Linked DNA regions of Notamacropus eugenii. The protein of the gene in region 1 purifies or fractionates together with the protein of each later gene. This does not show direct contact. Links are inferred from orthologs where the notes say so. Each region holds a gene or a part of one and is shown on either strand. Other genes may lie near its edges. The genes, in order: KBTBD8 and PKN1.

Region 1 (8,642 bases):
GCATAGTAGGGCTAGTCTGAGGTTCAGGTCTATAATCCTAGGATCCTTTCCACCTGCAAACTCTATCCTGTTCTGTGATTCCATCTTATAGTTGCTGGTAAGTCAGCTTACCAGTTGCTGGTATATATGCCTGTCTATCCAATCTTGAGCTATTCTGTCACAGGGTAGTGAGAAAGATTGCATTTTAAGAGAAAAATACAAACTTGCCCCTCACAAAAATAGGAACCTCTAAATTAGGGGTGGGGAACCTGCGGCCTTGAGATCACACGTGGTCCTCTATGTCCTCAAGTATGATCCTTCGAATCCAAACTTCACAGAACAAATCCCCTTAAAAAAGGATTTGTTCTGTAAAACTTGGACTCCTTCAACAGGCCTCACCTGAGGACCTAGAAGGACACAGGTTTCTCCCTCCGGCTAGATTAGTAAGAGGGTCACTTCTTTAAAAAAATCAACATAAAAGTGTGTCCCTAAAACAAATTAAATAAAAAACCAGGAACTCTCTCAGAGTCTGACGTTTCTTCTGAGTTAAAAAAATCTCCTTCAACCAAAACTCTAAATTCTTTGAAATATTATTGCCAGTTTCAGAAAATGCTCCAAAAAAGTTTTTAAAGAGAGTCTGCGGACCGATCTGTATTGGCACTGACCAGGCGGTGAGCACCTCTGAGCCCCACGAGCAGCGAGGACTCGGAAGCCTCTTCCAAGATCGCCTTTCTCCCCCTTTTTAGAAAGGGGGCGGGTCTGGGGCCAGGGGGGCCCGCGTGTGCCGGGGAGCCCCGTCTCACACAGTCACGCTCCGAGAGCTCCGGCCGCCCACCGTGCCGGGCGGCGGACGCCAGAGGGGCCCCCTCAGCCACGGCCCGCTCCCACACACGTCCCCTCGTCTCCCCCCACACACCCGCCGGCCTCCACTCTCCCCCGCGCCCCAGAACCCGGCGCGCCACGCAGCAGGCGCTTCGTACAGGCGCTCCCGGGGGTAAACTGAGGCAGCGGGCGCGGCTACCTGAAGTAGGGGCTGATGGCCGCCAGCACGTTGCGGTGGCACGAGAAGGTCTTGCCGTGGTCCACCTCCACGACGATGTCGGTCAGCTGGCCCTCGTCGTACATGGTCTTGAGCTGCTGCAGGATGCTGCACGCGTGGGCGGCGTCCACGGGCCCCGGGCCGGCCACGGGGGGCGCGGGCGGGGCGCCGTTCGGCGGCGGACACTTACTGGCATCTGCGGGAGAGAGAGCGCCACAAGCCCCGGGTTCCGCGCGCGCCCGAGGCTGGGCCGGGCCCACGCGCGCCCCGGGGCGCGGCCCCGACGGGCCACGGACGCGCGCGGCGGGGGGCGGGGGGCGGGGCGGGGGGAGGACGCGACGCGGACGCGCGGGGCCCCCGCGGGCGACCGGACGGGCTTCGGCGGCCGTCGGGGCCCACGGGAGTCGCGGGGGAGGGAGGGAGGGAAAAGGGGAGGCCCGTGCCCTCCGCCAAGCCCGCCCCGGACCGCCCAACCGCCGCCCCGGCCGCTCCCCCCACCCCGAGGCAGCACCTACCTCCCGTCGCGGCCATGTCTCGGAGGGGCCCCGGCTCGAGCGGAGTGAGGAGAAGAGAGAAAATGTCATTTCGTTTCCCCTGCTCCCCCCGGTTCCGGCTCGTCAGCGAGCTTCGAAGCCAATGGGAGGCCTCGGAGCCCAGGCCCCGCCCCCGAGCCCAGCGCCTCGGGTACCGATTGGTCGCAGGCCGCCGAGGTGCGTGTCGGGAAATGTAGTCCGGTTCAGCTCAACCCCGCGTGGTCGCTGGGAGGCGGAGGCAGTACCGGCGGAGGCCGGACTGCGGCGTGGGCATGGGGCCTGTCAGGGGGTGGGCCGAGTCGTCCTCGGGTTAGGACGCACTCCATACTCCTGGCTCACACCAGAGCTCCACGCATTGGGATCCGCGCGGTCCCCTCGGATCCCCCCCGCTTCCCAGGGGCTGGGCACCGCAGGTGTCACCCGCTGGACGGGCGAGGAAACTGAGGCCTAGGCCGGGACCTCGCGGTCTGCGTTGGGGATGGGGTGGGGCCAAAGTGGGAGCGCCCTGAGGGCCGCGGCGCGGGAGGACGTGGGCGCAGCCGCCGTGGGCAAGGCGCCGCGCTCCGGCCGGCCCTTCCGCGGAGGGGCCCCCAAGGCGGGGGAGGCTTCGGGGGACTTCCCCCTTGTCGGCTCACGGTTACCCCGCCTTCCCCAAGAGGAAACCGAGGCCGAGCTGAAGTCGGGCCTCGCGACTTCCCCCGGGGGCGTCCGACGCAGGACTGGCCCCAGGCCTGCCTGGCAGCCGGACGGGACTTCCTTCCCTGAGTCACCGCCCCTCCTACCCGCGGCCGCCGATGCGAGGGGGCCCAGCCTCCCCGAGACACCTCCAACTGGAGCCCGGGGTCACCTGCCCCTCCCCCCGCCCGCCCCAGAGAGAGTGATCCGACGTGCCATCTGTGCCACCAAGTGAAACCGCCTGGCACCGGCCTAAGTTCCGAGCCATCAAAGCTGAGCCCCGTAGATGGAGACAAACCTCCCCCTCCTGTTTAGAGCCCCTAAAAATAAACATGAAGGAATTAAATATGTCCCACGGGAACTTGGGAGGAGCCCCTTCCTTCCTGGATGTTTACCTGCGATCCTTTCATTAGCCGTCCTGAGGCTTGCCTTGGCTCCCCAGGCAGCCTGTCCGGGGCTAGGGGAGAGTTTGTGAACGAGAGGGACCCTGGACTGAGGCCAGCCGCCCCCTCCTCTTAGATTCATGGCTGCGATATTTCCCTAGATCTGTCCTCTTATGGAGGAATGCCAGTCGCGACTGGTCCAGCCCTGCCCAGCCTGTTCGGCTTCTGCCTTTGCCCTCCCCTACTGCCTCCCAAGGAACGACACCCAACGTGCTGGAGGGCGCTTTTAGCATTTCACGGATACTGCTGCAGTCGTGCATGTAGCTGACCTTCCTTCACAAATCGTTGGGAGCTTGAGGCAGGCTTTTATGCGGAGCCCAGGCTCCTGGCTCTCCGATCGGAGAAGATACATTTGACTTGGATTCCGATTTTGCTTCTGATACGCTGTGAACACTGGAAAGTCACAGCCTCTCTGTTCCTTAGTTCCCTCGTCCGTAAAGTGAAGTTCGTACTGACAGTACCTCCCTCGCAGGCTGGCTTGTGAGATTCAAGTGAGATGATACATGTCAAGAGTTTTGCGCATTTAAAAATGTATATAAATGTCAACTCTTGTTACAGTTATCCCATGTACCGAGCAGTAAGATACTTTTTGTGCTTGGCAAGTGGAATAAAGATACATAATATATAAAATGTGTTCTATGTAGATAGTGTTACACTTTAAATCTGTATTATGTTTCTTTGCTTTGTTACTCAGCATTATAAAATACAATTTATCATTACTGAGTATTTACTTAGCTCTTTCTAGGTCCATGGCCCTGATTTATCTAACTATTGCTCCTAGCAAATCTATTTTTAAGACTTTCATAAACTTAACAAGTCACATTTATATAGTGCTCTCCTCCCGACAGCTCTGTGAGGTAGGGAACAAGTTTTTGTTGATTTTTTTTAACCTAACATTCAGTTCATTGCCAAAGAAAAATCCATGCAGAGCAACACCTATTTATGCAACTCAAAGGCTTAAGGTGTTAACTTCCTCCAGAGGCAGAGTGACTTTCCCAGGGTCATATAGCCATAGAAGCTGAATCTGAACAAAGGTCATCATGATTCTGAGTCTGGCTCTCTATCCACTGCGCCACAAGGTCTCTCTGAACAAGTATTATTATGTCCTTTTTTGTTGTTCAGTCGTTTTAAGTCACATCTGACTCTTCATGACCCCATTTGGGGTTTTCATGGCAAAAGATACTGGAGTGATTTACCATTTTCTTCTCCAGCTCAATTTTAAAGATGAGGAAGCACAGGCTAACAGGGTCACACAGCTGCTGAGGGTCTGAGGTCAAATTCAGACTCATCCAGGTCTCCAAAACCTCCAGGTCCCAGTACTCATTCCCCTAGAGAACATAACACTGTCATTCTCTATTTCCCAAGTATCCATGGGTTCCCAATCAAAATTATTATATTAAGGAAAATGAATGGAAAAGTCTAATTTCATTCATTCTATTTTTAACTTCTTTGGAGTCAGGTCTAAAACTAAATGTGAGTCTTGCACTTCCTACTTATTAGCTAAAGGACTTGGGTGATATTCATCAATTAATTTCAGAAAAGACTCTGTGTTCTCTGTTCCCCTAGTGATGCGGGTTGGGGGGTGGGGAGGTACTAGGGCTTGTAAAAGCAAACCTAAAGTAAGTATAAAAAAGAACAGGACATAATATTACTGCTTTGCTAATGACTATGACACTCTTAATAGGGCTAAATTCTGATGAGATCAAAGATCATATATTACTCGTTGTTAGAATTATATAGTTTTTAAATCAAAAATAGATAAGAGGATAATAAAATCTAACCAACAAACAACTGTTCTCTGTGACCTTTAAGGATACAAAGAAGGTCCTGTTCCATTGTGGACACTAAATAGCACTAGACAGCCAGCTTTGGTTTGAGGCAGTTCCAGCCAATGAGCTGTAAAGGCAAGCAGTAAAAGTCAACCAGGTTTCATCTTAATTAACTAAATAGTTATAAAGTACTGACCACTAAAGTACTTTCCCAAAAAATTTACATTTTAGAAGGAAGCCAGAGGAAATTCAAAAATTGGGAAACCCAAGCAAATTCAGAAGGGACATGGTATCATGGAAATCAGTGACTGAAGTCAGAGGGTATAGGTTCAAACACCACCTCTGATAAGCCACCAGCACATAGTAAGGGCTTGTTGATAAATGCTTGTTGACTTGAATGAGACTACCTGTGTGGCCTTGGGCTGGTAATTTAATTGCTCTCAGCCTCAGTTTCCTTGTCTGTAAAATAACTACATGGTCTCAGGTCCCTTCTAGTTCTATGATCCTATAAGAGGTGTATATGTATGTATTTATGTATGTAAAGGCATGGATATGCCAATACATCAAGGATTTGTAATTTCATTGATGAAACAGCTTTTCTGCTAAAGAAGGTCACAACCCCTTTATAGCTAGTCAGATGGTCAGCAAGCATTGATGTCTTCTTTAATCTTCAAAGAATCGGGGATCTTCATGCCTTCTCAATCTCCACAAAGAGTCCCCTAGCTCTGGATTCATGCACATGAAATGGGTTCAGTCCCAAGCAGACTGTATCCTTTAGAGAAGGGTCTTTATATTACTACCCTCAACCCTGAAGCCTAGGGCCAGGAGGGGGGTGGGGAGGGGTGGAGGAATCACTTAAAGTTCACATTTGACTTTTAAGTCTCCTCAAAATAGAGAGGAATAGAAAGCTACTCTGTACAGTGTAAATCAGGTATAGGATAGCTATTTCCTCCACACAAAAGAAATGCTTAATATATAAGAGACTCACAAATGCATACTAACAAAGACTTAATTAGCAAGTTGAATCAAGAAGTACTTATTAAGTGTTCACTATGTGCCTAGGCACTGGAGTACAAGAAAGGCAAAAACAGTCCCTGAACTCAAAGAGTTTACCATCTAATGGAAGAGACAACATACAATAACTGTATACAAACAAGATATACAGAGGATATATTAGAGATAACCAATAGAGGGAAGGTAATAGTATTAAGGAGGACCAGGATAGGCTTCTTATAGAAGGTGGGATTTGAGCTGAGACATAAAGAAAGTCAGGGAAGGCAGGAGGTGCAGAAGTGCACAGTCAAGAGAAAAGACACAGGCCTATGAAAAAATGTTCCAAATCACTAATAATAAGAGAAATGTACGTTAAAACATCTCAGAGGTTCTGCCTCATGTATCTCAGTTTGGCAAAGATGACCAAAATGAAAAATTACAATTGTTGGAAGGGGTATGGGCAGACAGGCACACCATTCCACAAGTAAAGCAGTGAATTGGTTCGGTTGTTCTAGGAAGCACAAAAATCACTAAATTGTGCAGTCCTTTTGACTGGAAAAGACCCATATATACAAAAATATTCATAGCACTATTTATTCTAAGGACATGAAAAACTAAGGAGTTTTCATCAACCAGGCAGTATTAATATAATGGAATATTATTGCACTATAAGAAATGGTAGAGGCAACGAGGTGGAGCAGTGGATAGGGTGCCAGATCCCTAGTCAGGAGGACACTTTCCTGAGTTCAAATGTGGCCTCAGACACTTACTAGTTGTGTGATCCTGGACAAGTCACTTAACCCTGTTTGCCTCAGTTTCTTCATCTGTCAAATGACCTAGAGAAGGAAATTGCAGCATTTTTGCCAAGAAAACCTCAATTAAGGTTACAAAGACTCAGATGTAACTGAAAAGTAGCTCAACAACATAAATGATGAAAGGGAGAAATTCAGAGAAACCTGGGAAGAATTGAATGAACTGAGTGATGCAGATTCAGAAAAATAATTGATATAGTGACTAGCTTAACAACTTGTAACTGTTGTTATATTCTCCTCAGGAATCTGAGACTTAAAACCATCCAAATATAAAATATTTGGAAAGATTGTCAAGCATTTCACATTGTACCTTGGCTCTGAATTATCTAAATTAGAGGTGTTAAACTAGAGGTTTCACTCCAAGGGCTTGTAAAACCTCTCAAGTGCAACCCAAACCATAATAAAATGCAACTGGGAAATGTTTAACAAAATAAACAAAAATACAATACATAGAGAATATGAATTTGTGGCTTTCTAAGACAATATACAGCCCCAGGGATCCCATTCTATTTGAATTTGACATCATTGATCTAAATAGATCCTCCCACATCCATGTTGTCTGGCTTGTGGTCATCTCCTCCAAGAAGTGCTGAATAAGTTATAGGGACTCCTCTGGAAGGGAAGTCTCCAACTGAGGATACAGGGTATCCAGATCTCTTGAATTCACAAAAGACTTCTGAGATCGCAAATTGCAATTTCCAAATCACTTCTCAGTCAAGGAAGCCTGAATCCCAGGCTCAAGCTTACCTGAGCAGGACATGAACTCCAAATGACATGGGTTCATACTCATTGTGGTACAGGGAGAGCAAAAGGGCACCAGTCGCCTCATTCACTACTCTAATGAGAGGCTCAAAGGAGCATGACTTGAGACAGAGGATGGAGCCACACTCTTTTTAAGGTACCCTAAATCAGAGGTTCTTCTGATCAGTGACCAATAAGGGGCTTGTTTCATCACCTCCAAGAACTCCAATTCAGCACTGAACCACAGCTGCCTTAGGAAGTTGACAGGGGAGTTCTGGTATGTCATCTATGGGATGGTCCCTGTTCAATATAGAAATATAAATAAAAGGGATTTTTTTTTCCCTTGGGGGAGGGTACAGCACTAAGCCCTGGGGGAAGGGAGAATAGCAAAGGTTCTGAGAGGACCTGCGTTCAAATGGTGCCACTGATGCTTATCTGTGGCCATGGGAAAATTCTCCTAACCTCATCTGTAAAATGAGAGGGGTACATTAATTGTATTCTGAGGTCTCTTTCAGCTTTAGGTCTGTGGTCTTATGACCCTGTGTAAAAGATAGGTCATGGTAGAGCTGAGTTCTTAAGGAAACTAGGGGGTCTGCATGTGGAGAGAAGGAAGAAATGTATTCTGGTCATAAAGGATAATCAATGCAAAGGCAAGGAGACAAGAGACAGAACACAATACAGAAGGAACAGTAGAAAGGCTATTGTGACCAATCCATGGGGTATATGAAGGGAAGTAATGAATAACAATTCAGAAAACATCAGCTGAAGCCAGTTTGTGAATGGCTTTAAATTCCGAACAGAGGAATCATATTTGATCCAACCATCCTAACAAAGCTATCAATAAGTAGATTCCAATAACGTAGATCACGACACCTCTGGACCTACCCGTCTAGTTCAATTCCTAAAATGCTACGGTTTTGTGAATCTGTGGCTCTTGCCATGTGCTCCTGATATCACAAATAGGGATCTGTCCAATGTACTTAGAGCTTTCCTCTTGATCTCTTGACCTTGAATACCAATGGAGTATTTGGACAACCATTAATTACCCCAAGTTGTACTTCTTGACCAGCCTGTCTGTTTTGCCATTGATTGTTCTCCAATGATATCCTTTCACTGTTTTTTTTCCCTACATAATAAGAGGGCAGGTAAAAGACAGATAGACGGATGGATGGATGGATAAATAGATAGATAGATAGATAGATAGATAGATAGATAGATAGATAGATAGATAGATAGATAGATAGACAGACAAATGCAGACAGAAATGTATGTATATATGTTCAAATTAGGCAAAGTTTTAATACTTTATTTATTACTATAAAACTTAATGGTTAAAATCTATGAAGATCATCACACAGTTGTGGAAAACCAGGGTGGGATGCAGCTTTTATATTTAAAAGCTAGCCAGAATGAAGGACAGATAGCTTATTAAAGAAGCATATTTGAAAGATGAAGCTATGGCCCCTTGTATTCTCTGTTTCCACATCTAGAAAAAGCGTCAGCTTTTTTTCACAATTATCAGCAGTCCCTGACTCCTGTCGATAATAATGCCACACAACACAAGAGTGATAGCAACTCTGATGAAAGAGGTGTAAGAGAAAATAGAACCTCACTTCTGCAAATGGATTCTGCAGTTTTCCAATTTCCCCGTTCAGGAC
Region 2 (8,428 bases), on another chromosome or scaffold:
ACCTAGGTTTACATGTCTATTAATCACTCTGTCCATGTATGTCCTTATAGAACCATAGAAAGTCAGAACTGAGAGTTTAGCACTTGTCTAAACAAACTTCCTCATTTACAGATGAAACAACTGAGACCCAGAAAAGGGGGAGATCATATTACAATTCAGAGTCGAAGAAGGGGCTTCTAGTGAAGTTTGGAAGGGACTTAAGTCATTTTGCAATTGCAGAAGAAACAGAGGTCCAGAGGACCTCCCTTTAGCATTATTATTGCCCAGGGGGCCTCCAGACCTAACCTAGAGGGCAGTCCAGCAGTGTGGAAAGAGCCTTGGATTTAGACTCCCCTGACTTGATTGGAATCTGTTCTGCCACAATCTCTATTTCTTATGCAAATTATTTCTTTGGGTCTTAGTTTCATCATCTGTAAAATAAGAGTTGAACTAGAATGCTCTGTAAAAGCCCTTTCTGACTCTAAATTCCAGGACCCTGGAGATGAAGGGAGGAAGGATAGGAATAGGGGATGGCCAGTGGGTCAGTGTGACTTGCCATCAATCTTCAACAGAGCTCTACAGACTGCCTCTAACTTAGAATCATGAAATGGTAGAGCTGAAAGGCATGAGATCATCACCTCAAAGATAGGAAACTGAGGCCCAGAAAGGGAAAGGGATTTTTCTGCCCAAGGTTACAGTGAACTGTAGGTACAAGGTTCTATCTCAGGTCCTCTGACTGAGTCTGGGGCTCCTTTCACTCTAGAACAGATGCATTAGCCAAATCTTGGTCAAGCTAAGGTTCTCCTAGCCCTTCCTTCCCTGTCCCCCCAGTCTTTAGCAGAAGAGCTTAGGGAAATGTGCTCCTTCCCAGCCCCAGCCTCCACTGTGAGCTCACCTTGGTGTTGCCATTGCTGTAGGTGTGGATCATGTTTTCTGCCCCTTGCTTGACCTTGAGCTCGATGGTCAGCTGCTTCTCCAAGCCCGCCACCAGACTCAGACTGGTGGCCGAGCAGTTGGGGGATTGAGGACCATCTGGGAAGCACAGAGAGGGGAGAAGTCAGAGTCACTTCTGCCCAGTACCTAGCCAGGAATTCCCTGGGTGGGACTGATTGATCCTGGGATACAGCAGTCCAAGCTTCCCTCTTTCTTCCTGGGGTGCTAGAGATTTCTCTCCCTGAAAAGTAAGTGGCTAAACTGGGAACCCTAATGTCCCACTGCCCAGCAGCTAGGTGCTTTGCTTCTGCTCTGCCTGCCTGAAGTCTGAATATTTCATGGGGAGCTGAGGTAAGGGGAGCTGCTGGTGTGGTTTCCACTTTAAGCCAGAAAGACAAGCTGGGGGCTGGGAAGCTGGAGGTCTGGAATCCTGACCTGTCTATGCCTCCCCCCGCCCCCCCCAAAAAAAAACTACCAGTATTTCCTGGTAGAGACAAGAGTTTAGAGACTAGACCTAGGTTTCTTACCCCTCAGCTCAAAGGACAGCCTTAGGAGATGAGGAGTGGCCGTAGGCCTCTCCCATTTTATAATCATCCAGAGATGTTACATAGGTATCTCTATAGGGCTCCTGGACCAACAAGAGCCTAGTCTTCTTTTCTCCTTGGAGCCCCTGGCATTAAGATTGCCCCAAACCTGGACTCTTCCTCACACCCAGCAGGATTCCCCCCAGGGCCCAGTGTCTCTGCTGTCTCTTAGCTTTTCAGGCCACTTCCCCAGGGACCTTAGCACCTTGCTCACCCTGGGCCTGGCCCAGCTGGGGCTGGGCCTGGCTGGGTTCATGCAGCACCACCAGGCCATGGAGCTCCTGCAGCTGGCTGTGCAGCAGGTCCAGGCGGCGGGTGGAGCCCCTAAGCAGCAGCTCCACTGGCCCCAGGCTCCGGCCAAGGTCTGTGGTTGCCCGCCGCAGGTTTTCTGCCCCCTCTTTCAGCTTCAGTTCCTTTCGGATCTCCCGCCGAAGCCGCTCCACCTCCAGCTCCAGTCGCTGCTGTACCCCTGGGGCTGCCAAGTCTGCTCCTGCCAGGCCTAGCTGCTCCAACACTGACCAGCTCCCGGGCTCGCTCTGTGGAGAGGACAGAGAAAGGCCATAGCTCAGCGTGCTGGGGACTCAGGATCCCAAAGAACCCAAGGGGACAGGAGGAAACACCTAACTGGGGGGGGGGGGGGGGACCATGTTCAGCCTCCTCAGCCTTACATTGATGGCAAGCCCAGCCTCATGGGATCACAAGATTGAGAGCTGGAAGAGACAGCTTGGGGAGCACCCCATCAAATCCCTTCGTCTGAAGAAGCAGAGACAGTGGAAAAGGGCTTAAATCAGATACTTGGATTGTGAATCCCATATCTGCTATTATGTGACCTCCAGCAAGTCATGCCTGTTTTCATCCACCCCCACCCCAACCATCTCCATAAAATGAGGGGGTTGGACCAGATGACTCTTAAGTCCCTTCCATTTCTAAATGCTATGCTTCCTCAGCATTTTAAAGCTCCTGAACCTGGGTTCCCCACCTTCACAGACCTAAAGATTATTAACTAGAAAGGACCTTGACAAACCTTCTTTCATTTTACACAGGGGGAAAGTGAGGCCCATAGCAAGGAAGTGATTTGCCCAAGGTCACATTGTAAGTTACAGATCTAGGGCTTGAACCCAAATCCTTATACTCCCTTCCTACTTTTCTCTGTGCTCCCCCAAATTCCCCTTCTCCTACCCCAGAACAGGCTAGACTCTTTCCTACCTTGGCAGATGCAATTCCTTCCCTTTCTCTCTATCCTCAGAAGTGAAATACCATTGCCTCCAGAAAGCTATGACTGACTACTCCAGCCCTTTACCCTCTGGGGACCTATGACCCTTTTAAGCTGAACCCCATCCCTACAGTGATTCACAGTTTTCAAGAGAGGGAGGCGGAGAATAGGGAGTCTGAGCTCCCCTGCAGACTGGATAAGGCCAAGTCCCTGCCTCCCAGCCAACATAGCCCTACAAAGTCCTGGTCATATATACCATAGGTGCTGGGTACAGACTTCTTGGATGGAGGGGCCCAAGGACCCATCTCTGATTTGATCGTTGACCTCAAATCCTTTTCTACTTGGTGCAAAGGGCTGCCTTCCTCCCCCTCCCCATCCCAATCCCCTGGAACATATTCTTTCCCCAAAGCTCAGAGAAGCATTAAGTCAGAATCAGGCCAATGGTAAAGGCTGTGTGTAACTGGGGTTCCAACAGAAAAGAGGTGTCAGGGTCCTCAGTAATTTTGGCTCAAGTGGCAATGCCAGCAAAGTCCTGGAGGGAATTACTCCAGATGACCCAGAATTCTGGTGGAGAGGTGATTCCAATAAATCCAAATTCCTGCCCAGGAGTATCCCATGGTCACCCAGGATCCTTGTTGTGACCAACCCTCAAGTCTGACACTGACCAAAAAAATTCCTTAATTGTCTGGGGCAGGGAAGGGGAATGGCAGATAGCCAGTTGGTCCGTATCCCACATCCTGTCATCAACTCCTACTGGACTGCCCAGCCAGACCCCTACCTAGTGGCCCCAGAAGGAAGCTATGTCATTGGCCCTGGCCTTCCTGGGTTGATAGCAGCTAGGGAGTGAAGTGGGGGAGGAGACAGACAGCTGAAGAGGGTAGACAGATGGTCCCTATCCCCAGGGCTTGACTGTCCAAGCTCCAAAGTCCCCCCAAACCCTGGCCCTGTCCCCCACCTCTAGCTCCAGGTCCGAGGGGGGCTCAGCTTCCGCCATCCTGGGTCCTAGGGCGGCTCCGCCCTCTCTTCCTGGCAGGGCCCAGAGCTCTGTGTCTGCTACTTCCTCTTTCCTGCCAGTCCCAGGCCTCTCTATGTGGGCCCCCCTGGGGGAGGGGGAAAGGGGACTAGAGAATCAGGGAAACACTGGTGAGGAAGAGCACCCCTCTGCCAGACACAGAGAGGACCAACCTGCTAGATTCCAGCTACAACATCTGGGGTCCCCCAAAAGAAGAATAAGTAAAAGGGTGAGTGAGGGTGGTCCCCCCACTTCCTCCTGCTCTAGGTCAGACTTGGGTCATCAGGCAGGGCTGGGGTAGTGTGTATGATGATGCCTCCTGGTGGGCCTCTTCATCTACTGCATGTCTCCACGTTTGGCCATATGTCCTCATGTCTCTATAAAGGCACAAAGAGGCTGACCTTGGTCCATGGGATTTAGGAATCACATGATTTACAGGCGGACTAAAAATCCTCTAGTCCAATTCCTTTATTTTACAGAAGGGTAAATTGAGGCATAAATTCGTTAAGTGATATCCAAATATACCAAGTAAGAGGAGACAGAATTCAAATGATCTCTTTTTGACTCTAAAACCAATGTTCTTTTTGGCATAATACCACTTTTGAACAGGGCTTGCTCCCCTTTCCCCTGAATCCTGACTCTTCTCTTCCCATTCCCCTACCCCCATACCTAAGACCTGTCCTTCCCCATCTCCCAAAGCAGACTTCCTGTTTCCTCCAAGGCTGCAGCCCACTTCCAGCAGCCCTTGTGATGAGCTGGGTCAGTTACTGGAGGGAACCTGGGACCCAGAGCTAGAAGCCACCTTACAGATCATCAAAACCCAGTATCCTCCATTCTGTCACTGAGAACTTAGTGACTTTTCCAAACACAGCTAGTAAGGGACCCAAGTAGGATTCAAATCAGCCCTTTCTGAATCTAAAACTGGTCTTCTCTCTCTCCCAAGACCACTCCATAATTAGTCTAGCTCTGTGAGTCCTAAGGCTGGAGGTTGGGTTCCTCTGAACTCCACATCTAATGGGGTGACTCTGAGTTCAGGTCACCTTCCAAAGGAGGGCAGAATTGGGGTGGGGGGAGAGAGGAGAAAATGGTTCCCTCCATTGTGATTGGGGTCCCTTCCCTCCTCCACCCAGCATGGAACCCAGGAGCCACACCTCCTAGCCTGCAATGTGACCTTCTTCCTCTCCCAGCTGCCAGTCACCCAATCCCCCAGGGCTGGGGCCAGCTGGGCCAGGCCCCACAAAGGGCCTATTCAGGCCACACACACCCCCAGCCTGAGCAGCACCCCCCACTCTACCCCTCATCCTCATTCCATTGTTCTAAGCCTGCTCCTTAATACCCCAGGCACTGAGGCCCATGCCTTAAATGAGCAACCTCAGTACTATTCCCCAATTCAAGAGCTAGACCTGGGCCTTAGGATCACAGATCTATAGAAGGAAGGGGCCTCAGAGGGAGGAAACTGAGGGCCAGAAAGGTTGTGACTTGCCCGAGATCACATGGATAATAAGTATCACAGGCAGGATTCACAACTCAAAACTATAAAGCTACTGTATCAAGATTCTTCTTCTAGTCTCCCAAATACACAGCCTATCTCTCCAAGCTGTCACTTAGAAAAAGAGCAAATGTTGATGGTAGAGTCTTTGTGAATCCCGGGACTTCTAAGTCCTGCTAATATTGGGACCCAAGAGTCCAGGCTCCTAACCCAGCCAGCTTCATTAGGGAAGAATGAGGGGAGAGAAGACTATCTTTCTTCCTCCCTCACTAACAGGATCATGAGGAGGAAGGAGGAAATAAGCTGGAGAGGACCTTAAAGATTATCGAGTTTACGCCTGATTTTATAGATGAGGAAATGGACTTAGAGGGAGAAGTAACTTGTCCAAGATCATAGTAGTAACAGAGCTAAGACCTGAGCCCAGGCCTCTTGGTTCTAATTTTAGTGCTCTTTTCATTACCCTGCTACTCCAGCGGGAGGCAGAGAGGCCCTTGGAGAGGACAGGGATGGGAAGGGGCATTGAGTTCTCTTAGTCTCCTCCTCTTCTCACAGTGCCTGCCTTCTGTCACTGATCAGACTCCCTCAGTCCTCCTTTCTAGGGCCAGCTGAACTCAGCTGTATAAGCAGCAGGGCTGGAACCTGGTGACCTCAGTCACCCAGGAATGTGGGGCGGGGAGAGGCCACTGGGCCTGCCCCAATCCCTACTCACTCCCTGGCTGGGATGCTCAGCCTTTGGGGCCTTGGGGCCTAGCTCTGCAGCTGCCCTGGGTTCAGTTGGGGTCAGGGGGAAACTTTCCCCTTCCTCTAGGCCAAAATTGTGGCTGGATTCAGGATAGGACTTAGAGCTAGAAAGACCCTTAGAGACCATCTAATCCAACCTCCTCATTTGACAGTGGAGAAAACAGGCCAAGAGAGAAGGGACTAACCCAGGGGTTCTTAACCTGGTGCCCATGAACTATTGGTGTTTTCTAAAAAATATATTTTTATTACTGTATTTCAATATAAGTAGATTTCTCTGTAGTTGTATGCATTTTATTTCATGCAGTTAAAAACATTATTCTCCCTAGGCCTCACCAGCCTGCCAAGACTGACCCAAAAATGGTTAAGAGCTGCTGGACCAACCCAACGCCACCCAGCCAGCAAGTAGCCAAGCTGGGATGGTCAGTTCTATCTCTCGGAATCACCACTTCCTGCAGCAAGGTCCCCAGGTGGCAGCCATCCTCAGCCCCTGAATCCAAGCAGTACTTTCTTCCTCCTACCAGCCTGTACATCAGTCCAGGACCCAGGCATCCCCACCCCCAATGATGTCTGGCACTTTGAATGGTTCTGAAGCTTCCTGAGCAGAAACCGGACATCCTGAACCCGGACATGGTATAGACAAACAGACAGACAAGTGTTAGCATGGAGACAGGCAGACAGAGGGACAGGACAGGCAATATGGGGGTTGGGGAGGCCACTCAGAGCCAGTAGATAGGGAGGGAAGGAAGGAGATGATTGAGCTGGGTGAGTATAGGGCAGCAGGTCACTCAGATATGCTTGTGGTTCTCCTCCTACCCTCAAGGGCCTTGACAGCTAATTAACCCCTTGGCCCTGGGGGGGAGGGGGGGTGTTGGTGTTGGTGGTAGTGAGTCATGGGGAGGAGGGGCTCCTTCCTCTCCCAAAGACCTAAGCATCCTGAATACACAGATCTAGGCCCCACCTTCCCCCATTGTGGACCCAGGAGTCCTGACTCCAGGCTCCCTTCTCTAGCCCACACACTTTCCGAAGTCTGACATGGGGTGAAGCTCCAGGCATCCTTTGTTTTTATCCTAGAATGGGGGTTGGGGGAAGAGAAAACAGGGGAACCCTGCGGCTTTCCCCAGTTGCCCTAGTCCCATCATAAGGGTGGGGATAAAAACAGTTGAAAGAGGAATAGGGGGAGTTGGGAAGCCACCCTCTACCATCTGTTCTGGGACAGAAGGGCTGGGCATAGATTCTCTCCTTTCTTACCCCAAGCCCCACTTCAGCACCACCTGAGAGTAGACTCATAGTCCCTGAGGGCAGCTATGGTATAATGGGAAGAACACAGCATCTATAGTCAGGACACTGAGATTCCTGTCCTACTTTTGTCACTTCCTACTCTGGGCAAATCATTTAGCTAGTCCCTCTCAGCCTCAGTTTCCTCGACCGTAAAATAAGGATATTCCTATACTATTGATAATAGGATTTAGGGCTAATAGGGCTCTTAGAGACCATCTAGTTCAGTCCTTTCATTTTCGGAGGAAGAAACAGGCCCAGAGAGAAGTGTCAGATAGGTGGGAGAGCTGGGATCTGAACCCTCTGATTCCATATCCCAGGCTATTTTCTGTCTCTCAGAGGGAGTAAGTGATAAAGTGTTATACAAATATGAAATACAGTTAAGCCACAAACTCTCAGGTTCAGTTTCCTCCTTTGTAAAATGGAGATAACCATACTTGTGAGGATTACATGAGATAATGTATGTTAAGCACTTTGTAACAATAACATTTATATAAATTTTAACAACTGAGAAAGCACTTTGCAATCCATAAATGTTACATAAATATAAGCTGATATTATTATTATTATCATCAGAAGAGAAGGGGAATTTAGAGACTATCTAATTCAATTGCCTTATTTTATAGATGGGCAAAATTAGGTCAGTGGAGGCTGAGTCATTTACATGAGGTAGCATGGAAAGTTAGGGACAAAATTGGGACTAGAACCGTGCTTCTGACTGCCTCTCTTAGCGATCTGGTGTGGTGTCTAGAATCTTCCTCTTCTTAGTGTCCTTGGGGGTCAGGACTTTGCCTCAGGGTACAGATCTAGATCCAGGCACTAGCCTTTCTACTTTAGAGACTGGCCTGGGGCTGCCTCAGAGTCTCTTCCCAGAGAAAATGCAGGAGGAAAGAGAGGGACTTAACAATGGACCCCAAATCCAATCTGCAAGCATAGTCTCAGAGCTAGAAGGGGCAAGAATCTTCCCAGCTCTTAACTTTTTAAATAAGACTCTATTCAGGATGGGAAACTGAGGCAGAACACAGATGTCACCCTTGTTTACAGATGAGGAAACTATGCTCCCTTTAACTTGGCAATGAGAGGGCCCAAGTTCACACAGCATTGAACCAAATTTGTCAGGGAACTAAGGTTACCCCTTACCCTTTCCAGACAGCTTGCTATGATTGGGGGTGGGGGGTGGGGTCTAGGGTTTGGCAGTATGA

Evidence for each region.
Region 2: the proteins of KBTBD8 (region 1) and PKN1 purify together in Homo sapiens (affinity purification with western blotting; 3 studies listed by BioGRID and IntAct, with this or other methods). This does not show direct contact. The link is inferred for Notamacropus eugenii from reciprocal best matches to the Homo sapiens genes KBTBD8 and PKN1.

What each region holds. Positions count from the first base shown.
Region 1 is NC_092874.1:456,874,875-456,883,516, forward strand, and holds the start of KBTBD8 (kelch repeat and BTB domain-containing protein 8), read right to left. Parts: upstream 3,381-8,642; 5' UTR 2,637-3,380; coding exon 2,622-2,636; intron 1,568-2,621; coding exon 1,534-1,567; intron 1,215-1,533; coding exon 1,001-1,214; intron 1-1,000. UniProt on the Homo sapiens protein: Substrate-specific adapter of a BCR (BTB-CUL3-RBX1) E3 ubiquitin ligase complex that acts as a regulator of neural crest specification.
Region 2 is NC_092875.1:76,499,665-76,508,092, forward strand, and holds the start of PKN1 (serine/threonine-protein kinase N1), read right to left. Parts: upstream 3,771-8,428; 5' UTR 3,704-3,770; coding exon 3,665-3,703; intron 2,033-3,664; coding exon 1,711-2,032; intron 1,012-1,710; coding exon 875-1,011; intron 1-874. UniProt on the Homo sapiens protein: PKC-related serine/threonine-protein kinase involved in various processes such as regulation of the intermediate filaments of the actin cytoskeleton, cell migration, tumor cell invasion and transcription regulation.